Pelodiscus sinensis: one gene and its partner. The protein of the gene in region 1 interacts with the protein of each later gene in a pairwise test. Links are inferred from orthologs where the notes say so. Each region holds a gene or a part of one and is shown on either strand. Other genes may lie near its edges. The genes, in order: CIB3 and ENOX2.

The links.
Region 2: the proteins of CIB3 (region 1) and ENOX2 interact in binary tests that used the Homo sapiens proteins (3 or more experiments, as listed by UniProt). The two-hybrid records come from large-scale screens. The link is inferred for Pelodiscus sinensis from reciprocal best matches to the Homo sapiens genes CIB3 and ENOX2.

What each region holds. Positions count from the first base shown.
Region 1 is NC_134729.1:31,362,081-31,370,787, forward strand, and holds the start of CIB3 (calcium and integrin-binding family member 3), read left to right. Parts: upstream 1-5,304; coding exon 5,305-5,355; intron 5,356-5,712; coding exon 5,713-5,747; intron 5,748-8,064; coding exon 8,065-8,070; intron 8,071-8,330; coding exon 8,331-8,354; intron 8,355-8,707. Other genes in the region: protein FAM32A-like, read right to left, coding at 93-161, 563-616, 784-919, 1,061-1,137. UniProt on the Homo sapiens protein: Acts a an auxiliary subunit of the sensory mechanoelectrical transduction (MET) channel in hair cells. Plays a role in regulating hair cell MET channel localization and function.
Region 2 is NC_134723.1:2,336,136-2,343,688, forward strand, and holds the start of ENOX2 (ecto-NOX disulfide-thiol exchanger 2), read left to right. Parts: upstream 1-4,187; 5' UTR 4,188-4,297; coding exon 4,298-4,340; intron 4,341-7,553. UniProt on the Homo sapiens protein: May be involved in cell growth. Probably acts as a terminal oxidase of plasma electron transport from cytosolic NAD(P)H via hydroquinones to acceptors at the cell surface.

The DNA of each region.
Region 1 (8,707 bases):
AAAATATCCAACTTGGAGAGCAGAGATTTGTACAATTATTTCCTTTAAATAAAAAGCCTACTCAGAATCCAGAACTGGGGAAGAGAAAACATTCATTTAGTCCAGCTAACTTTGGGAATGTCATAATGTTCAGTCAGAGCATCCAAGTGTCTGTTGAAATCCTAAGAGGAAAAAAAAAGTAGGCTATAATACGGACATACCTGACCTTGCTATTTCTTTCACTATGTTTATACTTTGCAATTCCAGATCAAACCAGTAGTACAACTGGTACAGTGATAGAAATGTAGCCGTGTTAGTCTGGTGTAGCTGAAACAAAATACAGGATAGTCCTGTATACAATTGGTACCGTATCTGGTCTGCCAATACCAGATAAAAATGGCCTGACTGGGTCAGCCCAATGGTCAATTTCGCCCAGCATTGTGCTTCAGCAATGGCCAATTTCAAGTGCTTCAGAGGGAACGAACAAATTGCTTGAGAGAAAGGGGCAAGAATCCAGAACTCAGACTCAGGGAAGCGACATATGGCGACGGGAGGGAATAAGCCAACACACACAGCCCCTTACCTCCACTCTCTGTTTATGAGTTTTGGAGGCTTTCTTCAGGATCCTCTCCATTTGCTGAAAATGGAACAGACACAGTGAGACCTTCCTTTGGCAGCCGGGAACATACCACGCGCAGCCCACCCTCCGCGGGGGGGGGGGGGGGCTTTGCCTTGGGGCACCCTAGGAAAGCGCATCTCGGCGACCCCCCGCCCCGCCCCCGCGAGGAGCTGCCCCCCTCCTACTCTTTTCTCCTGCGTCTTCTCATAGGCCAGCTGCGCCGGGGTCCGCTTGTCCAGCGCCCGCTTCTTCTCCTCCTCCTGCTTCTTGCTGCTCACGATCTGCTCGCGGATCTTGCTTTTGTCCTTCGCCTTCTTCTTCCTGGAGCAACACAGAGCGGGCGGGGTGAGGCGTGAGGCGTGAGGCGCCAGGGGCCAGGGGCCGCCCCCGCCGCCCCCGGACCGCCGCCGCCCCCGCCCTCCCGGGCCCCCACCCCCGGACCGCCGCCCCCGGACCGCTCACCGCTTCCCCAGCACCGGGGCCGCCCCGCTACCCTTCAGCCGCAGCTGCCCGCGCTGGACGCTCTCGTACTCCGCCATCGCGCGCCGGCCGCGCTCACAGCGCTTCTGGGTCAGGTCGCGTGGGCGGGGCCTCCTGAGGCGGGGCGGGGCCACAGGCGCGGGTGGGGGCGGGGCTCTAAGCCTCGTGCGCAGCGCACGGTGCGCAGCCCCCCCTCTGCCCCCGCTTCAGGGAGCCGGCCTCGGGCGCCCCCTACAGAGCGCGGGCAGCGTTGTGGGGATCCTGGCCCCGCCCCCATGCGATGAGCCGGGGGGGGGGGGGGTTGTGTTGCTCCCCGGTGGTGCCGGTCCCGGTGCCGTGCGGTGCAGGGGCTGCGCTTCCTTCCCCCGGGGCTCCCCCTCCGCCCCATAGGACTGGAACTAGGGCTGTGTGTGGAGGGGGGTTGCTACAGCCAGCGCCAGCCGGCTCTAGGGTTTTTGCCGCCCCAAGCAAAACATTTTTGGCCGCTTTTTTTGTTGGCTTTTACACGTTTGCACTTTGCAGTGGTTTGGTTTTGTTTTGTTTAAAATTGAAAAAAAAAATGAAAACAGAAAATGTGTAGTTCGTGAATAAAACAATTCCCTACTCGTGTACTTATTTAATTTTAACAAATCACAATTACCAACAATTTGGATAGAAATGTAGCCGTGTGAGTCTGGTGTAACTGAAACAAAATACAGGACTATGTAGCACTTTAAAGACTAATAAACAATTTGGGTGCAACTATACATTGTAATGAACAACATTAGTGTCTTCCGGTGTGCCCAGTTTCTCATGAATTAAAAGAATTTATATGAATTGAATTTTTCTGGTTTTTATACTTCTGTAGCCTCAGGAGCGGCCCTAGACGAGCTGCCAGCAACAGGCGTCCTAGGCGAAACGCGCGATCACCGTGTGATTGGCACCCACACCTCCAAAGCCCTCAATGGCCATTTATCTTGGTGCCCTAGGTGACCGCCTAGGTCGCCAGTATTGACGGGCCGCCACTCCGTAGCCTTTCAATAATTGTGTAAAATCGAAATTTTTTGCAACAGTACTTTCAATTGAAATTAATGCGAGTCCTGACAAACGATTTTGAGTCATGGTGAGCTACAAGCATAATCTCAGATACTGACCAACAACCATGGCACCGGGCTAGTCCACTGCCCCCAGCCCTCCCCTATGTACTCTTGCATGTACAAGAGCAGGGCCCGTTCCTTCTGGTTCAGAATCACTTGTCTTCTCCTGGCCAATGCAGTGCTGTCCCAGCATCAAAATTGTTTAGCAGCTCTGGCTATCCTTAGCCTCATTATGCTTGTCCCTTAGGGCCAGGCAGATATTTCTCAAGCGCCATCCTTCCATTTGGTCTGGACAGTTGTCACGTCTCACTCGTGTTGCAAATCTCACAATCCTTTGGTGTTTCTTAAAGCTCCAGATGCTGGAGTCAGGAAGTAACATTTTAAGTAAGTTTCTAGCCCTGATGGTTGCCTGGAAAAATATAACAGACTCTAATAGGTCAGAAACCAAAGGCAAATAAGAAAAAAATAACTACCCCAAACTGAGTATATTTTTTTCGAAATCTCATGATTTTTGTGGCCTGACTCATGACTGTGGAATGCATAAGTTTGACAATACTTTGAAAGGCACTAATAATATAAAGATGGTGGGACCCTGGTTGGCCGGAGCAGCCCCATAGCACCACGCCGCAGGACCCCAGCTGGCCAGAGCAGCCCCCGCCTGCTGTTTGGACCCTGGTTAACCGGTTAAACCATTAAAATTATATTATTTAACCTCTTAACTTTTTAAAGCAGGTATTTACATCCCTAATCTGCATACAATCTATTTTTGGGCCTGAATACCACCTGTTCTTCTCGAAGCTTTGCATCCATGGCTTCTTTCATCCTGTGTAGTGTCACACTGCAGAAGATTCAGGAACATATAGAAATCAAAGATATAGGGTCCCAGAAAAAAACCCAATAAATTTCAATTCAAATGTAATCTCAGAGCTAACAGACGGCCGTGAGAGCTGGAGATCTTCTCATACATTAGACAGAAAAATAGATGCCTTTGAAAATAAGCACTTTAAAGACTAACAAGATGGTTTATTAGATGATGAGCTTTCGTGGGCCAGACCCACTTCCTCAGATCAAATAGTGGAAGAAAATAGTCACAACCATACATACCAAAGGATACAATTAAAAAAAATGAACACATATGAAAAGGACAAATCAAATTTCAGAACAGAAGGGGGATGTGGAAGGGGGAGGGGAAGGTAAATGTCTGTGAGCTAATGGTATTAGAGGTGATAATTGGAGAGGCTATCTTTGTAATGGGTAAGATAGCTAGAGTCTTTGTTGAGCCCCCCACGTAGAGTGTCGAATTTTAGCATGAATGACAGTTCAGAGGATTCCCTTTCAAGTGCATATTTAAAAGGCTTCTGAAGCAGGATGCAGGTAATTAAGTCGTTGAGACAGTGTCCTTTCTGGTTGAAATGGCAAGAAACTGTTTTTTCTTTGTGATCCTGTCTAATATCTGTTTTGTGGGCATTGATCCTTTGGCGAAGACGTCTCAAAAACCTCTTGCACAAAAAGCATTGGCAGAGATATGCAAATGACAGTGGGACAAATGCTAATGTGCACTTAATTAGCATACTCTCTGCTGGCAAATACCTGCAGTGTAGACCTAGCCCATCACAGGGAGGACACTGGCTGCTGGTTACTTCCAGCAGCAGACAGTGCTGTACGCCTACTTCCAACCTGCCTACTATGGTGATGGAGAACCATTACGCTGCCCTGGCGATGAGGAATTACTTAAGGTGGAGGAACAATAGCCATGTACCCCTATGGCTGTGAAGTTTGCAGCCACCTCACCCAGGGGGAAACTCAGAATTGTGGCAGCAAGGGAGGTTTAGGCTAGACATTAAGAAAAACTTCCTAACTGAGAGTGGTTAAGCACTGGAATAGATTGCCTAGGGAGGTTATGAATTCTTCATCACAGGGGATTTTCAAGAGCAGGTTAGATAAACATCTGTCAGGGCTGGTCTAGCTAATACTTAGTCCAGCTGTGAGTACAGTGGACAGGGATAGATGGTCCCGTCCAGTTCTGTGAGTCTGTGATTTTTGGATCATGTACTGCAAACGCTGACACAGACTCACACGTGAAGGTGTCAAGTGGAAACCAACCGGTATGAGAAATGAGCATGCATCAGAGAAACCTTAGCAGGGAGGGCTGAATAGTCAATCCCCAAACTATGGAGCAGCCCAGGCCATCCCTAACAGGGCATGGGGCTCAGGACAACCCCCCCCCCCCCATCCTCCACCCCAGACCTTGCCCGCATCCACCTCTTCCTGCCCTTTTCTGTCCCTGCCCCATTTGACTCCTTCCCCAAACTTCCACCCCTTCTCCACCTCTGTTCTGCCTCTTCTCACCCTTGCCCTGCCCCCATTCTGCCTCTTCTCGAGTGATGCCAGGAGCAAGTGGAGTGGAGCAGGGACAGTCATGCTGCCATCAGCCCTGGCGTCACCCAAGACCTGTATGTATGTCCCCTGAAGTGCGGGACATCCCGAAGTGTGGGCCCTGGGTGATTGTCCTGAACCATCATATGGATAGCTCTGGAAGCAGCAGCACACGACAGAGAGGAATGATTTCTCCATTAAGTGCCAACGCTGGCATGGGATGGATGTTAAAAAATGAGGAAGAGCTTAAATATAGTATTGCTATACACAGTGAAAAATACAGCACAGTATTAACATATGATGTAGAATGTGTATTACAATGAACATTAAGAAAAGGACTCAGGACCATACCTACTGTGATTCTTTTTTAAGGTGAATTGCTGAATGTTGAAGGAAGAAAGACTTTTTGTATATGTGAATTTAATTGATGGAAGCATAAAACTAAAATCCATACTGTCCCCTATGTAGCACAGAGACAAGGGATAGAAATTGTGTTAGTTGTTTGTGAAATGCTGTAATATGAGTCTCTGCAGAGCACACAGGAAGCAAATGAATGATGCTGTATGAGAGTCTTGTGTATTCAGACTAAAGATTTGATGAAATGCTCCTATTATGATTCTGAAATCTATGGAGCAGGGAAGGTGGTTGGTTACCTGATCCTCCTCTGTCTGAACCTCATTGTTGCAGCTTTTCATATCTCAATATTCAGCCTTCCTGTAAAGGTAACGTAACGGGAAAGAGTTATGGGACAAGAATCAGGATTTAGAGACAGAAATGGGCAATAAGCAAACCATTTTCACTCCAGAGCAGCTGGATGCGTATCAGGTAAGAACAAATAAAAGACAAGTTAGACACAATGCCAGGAAATGGCAGGTTGTTTTAAAGCAGTCTCCAGCACTTAGTTTCATGGTGCTAAACAGGAATATGAAATACTATCTGAAGTCTTTAGAGTAAATGGTTTATGGCTGTTTAATATTCCTTTATCTTCTTTTAAGAGAGAAAAAACTGTCAAACATGACTCTATAGTTGAACAGAAAGTTTATAAAGGTTGGGCCAGCTTTATCCATAATATGAGTCAAGTGAAATTAGTGCACTTGTACAGAAAAGAATTTGGGCTAGTGTTTAAAATAAAAAAGCAAAAATAACTCACCATCACATCTTCTATCTTTCCATATTTTACAGGATTGCACATTCTTTACAAGGAAAGAAATTCTGAGGTGCGTCTATATTTTTTGTCTGTAAAACTATAAGGAGATTATTAAAAAGTAAGGCCACTCATCTAGTAATCTTAGTAATCTTTTTATTAAGTTTTAAATAGGATTTAATATGGCATTATTGCGATAAGTGAAGTAGACACACACACGCACAAAAATCATGTTCAATGTCGTTAGTTAAGCCAAAAATCTATAATTCTATTAACATGCCAGCTACTCCCATGTAAAACACTATAACAAGTTACATCTAATACTCTGCTAGGAGGCCCCATTCCCCTCTACCTGGTTTATAACAAGTGCTACACAGACTATTGCTACCATCTATTTGATTAAATGCTTTCTGACTAGTGTATTATCTTGTTCTATTGTCTTTATATTATAAGTTCAGAAATATTTATGTGCCATGAAAATTTAATTTCTTAAAGGTAACTATAATTTCTTAGATGTATATAAATTTGAGATATAAAAATGTTATTCATGCCTCTATTTACTCTCTTTACAAAGCAGGATTGTTCTAGCTTTTAAATGATTATGCTTTGACCCTGCAGCATGCTGTTTTCCATGATTTACGTTGGCTTCATTTTGTTTGCCCATGAAAACAGAGCTAAAGCTAAAGTAAAAACTTTTTACCTTTGCCTTGACAATCCAGTGCTGTCCACAGAGCAGCTATTGTTTTGTGTCACTTTTTGCATCTGCATTTATGATATTTTCCGGAGACATTTTTACAAGCCCCAAATCCCATGAAACAAGATTAGAGATTAAATTATTTCACAAAAATGATTCCACAGTAAACATGGCCGGATCAAAGTAGCCTAAAAACTTTAGCTGAGACAACATGATGCTGCCCACTAGCTTTATGTGTAAAAAGCTGTGGTGATATTTTGAAGCCTGGTGCCTCATTAGAGCACAAGGCCTAAGTTAGCCTGAATCACTCATTTCCAGAAATTTTGGAACCTCTTCCAAGTAAATAGTACATCTAGGCCAAGCCATTGACCATTAGTCATCTAGCCACAAGAGGCTGAAGAGGAAAGGCTTAGTGCAGAGGTGGGGAACCTACAGACTGTGAGGCAGATCTGGGTCCTGCATTGCTTTGATCCAGCCCATGGTGAGGCTTGGGGCTTCCCCCCCAGCAAGGCAAGCCAGTGCTCATGCTCCAGCCCCATGGCAAATCTCCAAGCTTTGGTGCCCCCCTGCAAGGCTGAAGCATGAGCGAAGCCCCGGCATCCAGAGTTGAGTGTGTGGGAAGTTTTTTTTTTTTTTTGCTTCTCACTTGAGTGTGATTCACAACTGATTTTTCTGTGGGTCAGTGGCCACTGACCAAAAAAGGTTCCCCACCCCTGGCTTAGAGATTTGTAACACACTGGCTGAGGGATCAAGAGTCCTAACTGGCAACTGGAACCTGGTCTCCCAGTGCATCACCGAGTGAACTTTGGCAGGCGTTGGCACTCCTGTGTCTAAACTACATCCCTTTTCTCAAAAAAGGGATGTAAATTAGACACTTCAAAATTGCAAATGAAGCCAGGATTTAAATTTCCCGTGCTTCATTTGCATAAGGGTGGCCATGGGTTTTTTTCGAAATGGGGCTTTTCGAAAGAAAAACAGCTGTTTAGACAGGCATCTATCGAAAATAAAACCCTTTTTCAGAAGATCCTGTATTCCTCTGAGGGTTTTATTTTCGATAGATCCCCGTCTAAACAGCCGTTTTTCTTTCGAAAAGCCCCATTTAGAAAAAAACTGCAACCACCATTATGCAAATTTAAATCCTAGCTTCATTTGCGATTTTGAAGTGTCTAATTTACATCCCTTTTTCGTTTTGTAGTTTAGACACAGCCCATAAGAGTCTGTTCCACCGGACTTGATTGTAGAAGTCAGCTTTTGTTTCCTATTTGTCATGTAGCAAATTAATCAGCAGAAACATTTCCATTTCCTTCCCCTTTCTAAGGCTGATCTTGCACAACATCAGTGTGCCAAATCTTTTGCTGAGTAGAGTGCAGAGACAATTTCATAAGACGACTGCCCTTCTCCACCAGACCCTGATCTCCTACTCTGCCCATCTTGGTCTCTGTTTATCAGTGCTCCACAGTACAAAATGCAAATGAAATTAATAAATTAAACTAAGCCTGGTTGTGTTTTCATGTATTTAATAGAGGCCAAGACCATAATTATATCACAAATAAGGCATTTATAATTGATAGGAAACCTTTAGAAAATTCTGTCTTCTTGTTTGATACCATTTTCATGGGTGACAGTATGAATGAGCTCCTCAGTCTAATGCGACACTGGAAGTAAATTGCATTGAGAAGAAAAGAAACATATTTAGGGGTCAGTTTATAGCTCTTCCCTTCTCTTCGTTCTGAGTCCCTACAAAATCAGTGGGAGGTTTGGGTGGGCAACAAAAGGCAGGATGGAGCCCCATATTTGAAGGGTAAAACAAACCCATTTTTTAAAAGCTTAAAGATGAGAAAAAAAGGTATCTAAGGAAACAGGGTTGAGGACAATCCCCCCAATGGGTGGACTAGATGGTCCAGGAGGTTCTCTCTATTTCTAGCTCCTGTGGGTTTGCCTGCATGTTTTTGCAGGGGAAAGAGGTACGCTCATTTCAAAGGTAAGGTAGGCTTAAAATACTTTCATTATTGAACCCCCCATTCTTAATTCCCCTGAGATCTTTTGAAGATCACTTATTTTCATCACATTGGTCCCTTCTGTCCTTACAAATCTATGGCTGGCTGTGTCTACACTGGGCCACTTATTCCGGAAAATCAGCCACTTTTCTGGAATAAGCTGCGAGCTGTCTACACTGGCCCTTGAATTTCCGGAAAAGCAACGACACTCTACTGTACAAAATCAGCCGCTATTCCAGAAAAACTATTCTGCTCCCGCTCGGGCATAAGTCCTTATTCCGGAACTTTGAAGTAGGAATAAGATCCTCCGGAAAAGGGCTTTTTTTCCGGAGGATCGGGGCC
Region 2 (7,553 bases), on another chromosome or scaffold:
ACCTTCTGGAAAGCACTCTGAAGTCAATGCAAAACAGTGACAGATTGTAGGTCTCAGCTGCTTCTGGGCCCAGCCATTAGGTGTTCCTCGTATCTAGGAGCCTTGGTTTGCTTAGTGCTCACTGTGTTAATGGCTTTAGTTAAGTGGTGAGATCTCATTTAGCCTGTCCTGTCGCCGGAGTAAACACCCTGAGAAAACTCATTTTTCTTTAAAAAAAAAATTACATTGAAAATCTTTAAAACCAGTTTTTAGTTAAAAGCTAAAAGTTAACTTAGTTTTCAAAAGTTATGAAAATGGACTTGCAACAAAACCCATTTGGGTCCTTTGTTCCACATTTAATTGGGTTGTGTTGCCCTGACAAACTGAGGGGGGGGTCACTTCTGCCCCCCTTTCTTCTCTTATCAAGCTCAACTGAGGAAGTAGGTTTTGCCCATGAAAGCTCATATCGTGTGTGTGTGTGTGTGTGTGTGTGTGTAAGGTTCCACAGGACTACTCATTTTTATAGTTAGACTAACACAGCTCCCTCTGAGACTTTCTTCCCATCTGCTACTCTTTTTACAGCACCCTGGATAGCTCCTTGGAGTAGGATTTAGCAGCTTCAGTGGACACTGATAAGGTTCTTCCAGCCTATAATAAGCCTCAATATAGGCTCGGAAGAATTTGTTTCATCTTAACTATTTCCACCGTCATTTGTCTCCATCAGCACTCAAGTCTCTGCACTTCTCTCTTTTACAGCCCTAGGTACCAGAAAACCAAGGGGATCTGTGTGGGCTTTGGGAAATTTAGGATTGTTTGGAGGCTGACAGTGAGCAAGACCGGTGTAGAATGGTAATTATTCATTTACTGCTTGATCTGTCCTTGCGTGCTGCCGCCCTTTAGCAGGGTTTGAAATTTGGAGAAGTCAATGAGCCTTCCTGGTAGAATGAGGAATGTTGGCCTTTTGTTTCCTTGGGGGCTGACAAGTCTGACTGCCTCAGAACTGAGCACTGGACACCCTGAATGTACTGATGGCCAGGGCAGACATTGGTTGATGGTTGCAAAGCAGTTCCAGACTATTTGAGAAAGAAAGCATGCAAAATGCACATAGCCCTATTCAGTGAAACCGAACAATAGTTTTTCAAAGCATTTGTTGGACTGAAAAGGTTATGTACAATTGTAGCATAGCTTGGATTCTCAAATTAAAAATAGAAATTAGTCTGTTTGGATACAGAGGCAACAAGGGGGAGGCTTATTGGTTAATTGTGTCATTGACTACACGCTGACATCCCTAGTTGTGACATGTTAATTACCACAAGAGGGCACCCATGTTCTGGACAAATGTCTTCATTTGGTGAATCTCTTGGTGATTTGGCAAGGGTGAATATACATTTTGGAAATCATTTTTTGATGGTGTGTGGCTCAATCTCATTCCATGCTTGATGAAACCAGTATATTGCATCCAAGCATAAAATCCTTTTCAAAAGCATTGGAGCCAGTGAAGTTACATGAGATTCTATTTGATGAAGAATACATTGAATTTGTCTTTTCTGAAATTGCCATTGCACAGCTTGAAGGTTTCCAGGTGTCTGGCTTTTGACCAGAAATTCCTGTCAAAAAGGAGACCTTTGACAGGGTCTGGTCAAGTGTATTGACTGGACACCAAAAGTCTGGTTAGTGAGGATGGGGAGGAGGCACTGGAGAACCTGCAGCAGCAGCCCCTGCTGAGGAAAGGCTGCCTACTGTCAGTATCTTGTGGGCAGAGGTAGATGGCACAGTGTCATGCTGCTATTCCTCTACCAGCCCCGGACCAGAGGGAGCCCAGTTGCATATGGGAGAGAGATGAAGAGACTTTAAGGAAGAGTGGGAGGAATGGGGGCTTGGAGGGAAGAGGTGGGTTAGAGGCTCTGGTTTTCAGAAAGCTGGCAACCCTGGTCCTGTGAAGCAGAGTTTAATGTTTGTTTGCAAAGGAGGAGGCATGGGGCATTATCCACAAACAGAATCTTATATTCCTGTGGTAGTGATCTGTGCTCAAATCTTGGTAGCCATTTTTCAAAATGTTCTGAATTCATCCATGCTTTTTTATTTAATTCATATTCCACAGGCAACTCCTTGGTAGTCAACTTGCCAAAGCAGGGTGGGTGTTGGGATTTAGCGACCAGTACGGACTTTTCTTTATCTCCATCCATGCAGTGGGACTGCTCCATGGCTCAACACTTTTGAAATAAAAAACCATTTAATATTTTTCAAATGTCGTGGAAACACTTTATTTTGACACTCACCAGTAACTGTCACATGAAACCAATTTTGCAATGCAAGGTTAGAACCCTGAAAGAGGGTGTTCTAACTACAGCTTGTTGGAATTACAGCTGCAGAGGGGCTGCATTTTGCCTCCTCCTAATCAAGGAGTATTGGATTAAAATGTAACAATGTAATTGTGAAAGCAGGCTCTTTGCTGGCCAGGCCTCTCCTGCGTATTGCCATCAGAGCAAAAGGTCAACTTCCTCTTGATGAAAAACCCTTACATTATGTAACTTAAACACCAGTGAAGAACAGGAACCAAAACCAGACCTAAAAAGTTCATGTAAAGTTCGTGCTGGTTGTGCTGACTGTGCCATGCCCGATAAGGCAGAAAAGGAAAAACAGGAAACCATCTCACCCTCTTACTCCTGTCACTTAACAGACAGGGTCTGCTAGCCTATCACAAAAAGCACGCAAAAGCTTTCTCTATAAAACAGCTTCCCCTCCTGTATCAAATTGAGGAATCCCGAATAAACATTGGATGGTAGAATATGAGCCAGGTCCGAGGACTGATCACCCGAGGGCCACCTCCTGCTCACCGAACCAAATGAGTTCCTGTAGAGTGTAATGTATACCAAACATAACGTATACCAAATATGTTGTTGTTGTTGTTGTAGTTTGTGTGTCTGTTAAATGTAAGTATTGTTATCTGAAATTGTTTAGAGGTATGGTTAAGTAGTAGTGTTAAGAGTTTTAGATAAATGATTAGTCTGATAAGTAAGACTGATGTAAATGTAACTGTTAATAATCCCTGGTCCCTTGTTAACAACTATTGGGATTTAGAGAAACCTCAAGGAATTTTCTTTACTGTATTGCATTGTGCTTATTAGTCATTCTAATAATTGATAAAATAATTTATATGCAGAAGTGCCTTAATAAAAGTTTAAAAGATATTTAGTAAGAGTTTGCCTGTTTCTGCGCCTCCCTGGGACTAGCCGCATTCCCGAGCCTTTGACTTTATTCCACAGTAAGGAGGAGGCGTAAGATGCCCACAGAGCTGGGCAGCGAGAGGGTGCTGGCCAGGCGCCCAGCTCTGAAGGCAGCTCAGGGCCAGGGGCAATGTCGGACCCCGGCGCGGGGGGGGGGGGGGCAGTGCCGGACCCCGGCGCGGGCGGGGGGGGGGGGGCAGTGCCGGACCCCGGCGCGGGGGGGGGGGGGGCAGTGCCGGACCCCAGCGCGGGGGGGGGGGGGCAGTGCCGGACCCCGGCGCGGGGGGGGGGGGGGGCAGTGCCGGACCCCGGCGCGGGGGGGGGGGGGGCAGTGCCGGACCCCAGCGCGGGCGGGGGGGGGGCAGTGCCGGACCCCGGCGCGGGCGGGGGGGGGCAGTGCCGGACCCCGGCGCGGGGGGGGGGGGGCAGTGCCGGACCCCGGCGCGGGGGGGGGGGGGCAGTGCCGGACCCCGGCGCGGGGGGGGGGGGGCAGTGCCGGACCCCGGCGCGGGGGGGGGCACTGCCGGACCCCGGCGCGGGGGGGGGGGGCAGTGCCGGACCCCGGCGCGGGGGGGGGGGCACTGCCGGACCCCGGCGCGGGGGGGGGAGGCCCGCGTGCCGAGGGGCCGAGCGCTGCGGGGCGGCGGGTTCCGATGTCGGCAGCTAAATCTCGACACTTACCGTTGTGACGCCCCGGGCCTGCGACACGGACCGAGCGCCCCGCCGTGACTGGGGCTGCGGCCCCGCCTGGCGAGCCCTGAGGCGGGGCGCTTAACACCCCTCCCCTCCAGTGCGCTGCCTCCCTGTGTCAGGCCCGGGCGCGCGCCGCAGAGCCTGGCTGCCATGGCAACCCGCCCCGAGCTGGCCTGAGGCGGCGCCAGTCCCGCTCCCGACGCCCCGCGCGCCGGTCTACGTCACCCACCAGGCCTCGCGCCCTAACGGCCAATCAGAGCACGCGTCCAGCGGCTAGGCAACGGCCGTACCCGGCATGCCTCGGGGCGCGGAGCCGGGCGGCCAATGGGCGGCGCAGGCGAAGGGGGCGGGGCTGTCGCGCGGCGCTGGGCCCGGGCTGAGGGGCGGACGAGCGGCGGATGTATAAGGAGTACCGGGGCGGCGCGGCCCGGCGGCCGGCAGGTGAGGACCCCGGGGCGGACCCCTGCTGCTGGCCAATGGACAGTGACCTCCCTCCGCGTGCCCTGGTTCTGGGAGAGCCCCCCCCCCCTGACTCGGGGGCAGTGCCGCGACGTGGGGCGCCCCCCCGCCCCCCTGACTCGGGGGCAGTGCCGCGACGGGGGGCGGCCCCCCCCGCCCCCCTGACTCGGGGGCAGTGCCGCGACGTGGGGCGGCCCCCCCCGCCCCCCTGACTCGGGGGCAGTGCCGCGACGTGGGGCGGCCCCCCCCGCCCCCCTGACTCGGGGGCAGTGCCGCGACGTGGGGCTGCCCCCCCCCCGCCCTCCTAACTCGGGGGCAGTGCCGCGACGTGGGGCTGCCCCCCCCCGCCCTCCTAACTCGGGGGCAGTGCCGCGACGTGGGGCTGCCCCCCCCCCCCCGCCCTCCTAACTCGGGGGAGGTGGTGCCGCGACGTGGGGCTGCCCCCCCCCGCCCTCCTAACTCGGGGGAGGTGGTGCCGCGACGTGGGGCTGCCCCCCCCCCCCGCCCCCCTGACTCGGGGGCAGTGCCGCGACGTGGGGCTGCCCCCCCCGCCCCCCTGACTCGGGGGCAGTGCCGCGACGTGGGGCTGCCCCCCCCCCGCCCTCCTGACTCGGGGGCAGTGCCGCGACGTGGGGCTGCCCCCCCCCGCCCCCCTGACTCGGGGGCAGTGCCGCGACGTGGGGCTGCCCCCCCCGCCCCCCTGACTCGGGGGCAGTGCCGCGACGTGGGGCTGCCCCCCCCGCCCCCCTGACTCGGGGGCAGTGCCGCGACGTGGGGCTGCCCCCCCCGCCCCCCTGACTCGGGGGCAGTGCCGCGACGTGGGGCGGCCCCCCCCGCCCCCCTGACTCGGGGGCAGTGCCGTGACGTGGGGCGGCCCCCCCCGCACTCCTAACTCGGGGGCAGTGCCGTGACGTGGGGCTGCCCCCCCCCGCCCTCCTAACTCGGGGGCAGTGCCGCGACGTGGGGCTGCCCCCCCCCGCCCTCCTAACTCGGGGGCAGTGCCGCGACGTGGGGCTGCCCCCCCCCCGCCCTCCTAACTCGGGGGCAGTGCCGCGACGTGGGGCTGCCCCCCCCGCCCTCCTAACTCGGGGGAGGTGGTGCCGCGACGTGGGGCTGCCCCCCCCCCCCGCCCTCCTGACTCGGGGGCAGTGCCGCGACGTGGGGCTGCAGAGGAGCTGAGTTCCGGTGTGTGCTTGGGCGCTCTGCTCAGCCGTATGTACCTGCCTTTCCTTACCCCTGTATCCACAATGTCCAGCAGATCCTCTGTGCACCTCCATAACAGGTGTGCATGTTGGATTTTTCTCTCTCATTTTCAGCCTTGGTTTCACTGCCTTGGCTGCTTCTGTTGGGTCTTGCCCCTGAAAGGCAGTTCGTGTGTCACAGCCCTACATGCCCCTCAGGCTAACCTAGCTTTAAAACTTCTTAGCTTAACCAAATAAACTTCTATAGATTTCTTGGCGCTAGCTTTGCCCTAGAGGTCTCAACTCTCTCAAGATCCCATTCTTGTAGAGAAGATCCATTTTTTATGGGTTCTGTGTCAGTTTATCTCCAGAAATAATGCTTGTGATAAGACATTGCAAGAAGAGTGTAAACATGACACTATTTTAAACTAAACTATTTTGTAACTTTTACATAATTAAGCCGTGCATATTGGTCTCCTTATGGCAAATCTCAATATTTTAGACCAGAAATTAAAATTCTTGGACAGGTGAGAATGAAGTTGTCTTTGGCAATTGTATAATAATGGATAACGTGAAGATGTGGGTATAAGTTGCAAGACTACAAAACAACAGTAGGGAGTCGAAGGACAGTGTAAGGGTTAAGGGGTGAAAAAGCTGTGTAATTATGGGATACTTCAATTTGAGTGACATGCTGAAGGTCAGAACTGTCCTGTATATAGGACTAATTGGAGCAGTTGCCCGAGGTCCTGCACTTTTGGGGGCCCCTCAGTGGCTGCTCCAACTGTCCTATGAGCAAAAAGGACTGGGAGTTATGGGGGCCTTCAGCAGGGGTCGTTTCCCCCTCTGCATTCATCACATGGGTGGCAGGAGCCGGAGCAGCCTGGCAGCCAGCTCTGCCCTGCCAGAGAAACACTGATTCTTTTAAAAAAGATATGGGCAGGATCACAGCATGTAATAGAGATGTTTCAGTCCTAGAGGCAGTACTGACTTGTTTGTATCTGGGTCTAAAGATGTATCTCAGAAGGAGTATCTTTGCCCAGCAGAGAGGGAAATGGTTCTTGTACTCAGTGAATGGTTTGCTTGAAGTCTGCCATGCCAGCTGTCATATTGGGGTCATTAGTGTGCTCAGGTGTTGATAGACATTTAGCTATGTGTGTTCTCTCTGGGCCACCCCAGCTCTGTGCAGACAGCTGGTGGCACAGCAGGCCTCAAGTGAACCACCCAATGATTACAAGATCTGTGAAGAGACAAGGCCTGAAATTATAAAAGGCAGGGTCACCCCAAGATGTTCCTGTCTTTCCTGTGCATCACATTCAGCACACCCAAAGAGACAGAGGAAGCAGCTGTTGGAATCTCTGTAGGTCAGGACTCCTCTCCCAGTTTGGTCAGTAAGACTGCTGAAAGCATGGGGCCAGAGTCTGTTTGAAATCTAACATAGGTTAAATAAGGCAATTAGTATTTTATCTTTATTTTTCTTATAACCATTTTTGACTTATGCTTCATTATTTGTACTCACTTTCTCTTTGTGGTTAATACACTTGTTTTATCTAATCCAGTGTGTTCAGTCTGAAGAGTGGGGGTAACTCCATTGGGGTAACAAGTTGCATACACATTATTTTCTTAAAGGAATAACATTTAAAGTAATGTGTACTGTAATGTGTACTGTCCTGGACTGTGCAGGACATAGATTTCTGGGTAGAAATCTGACTGGGAGCATGTTAGGGTCACTCCATGATGCTCTTTAAGGCTGATAAAAGGTGTGGCTGTCTGCAGAACACACAGAGTTGGCAGTGGCTTACATGCTGGAGGCTGTTTGAGAGCTGTCTGGGTTGGTGGCTACAGCAGCAAAGCATTGCAAAGGGCACCCCAGAATAGAGGGCAGGGGTGGTGACGCAGCTACTTAGTCTGAATTGTACTCTTGTGTGTCACAGTCCTTGTTCTGGTTCAAATGTATCAGAAAATTTCCCTCTGGTGGTGGTGATCAGCTGATGTGAGAAACTGCAACACCTCTCAG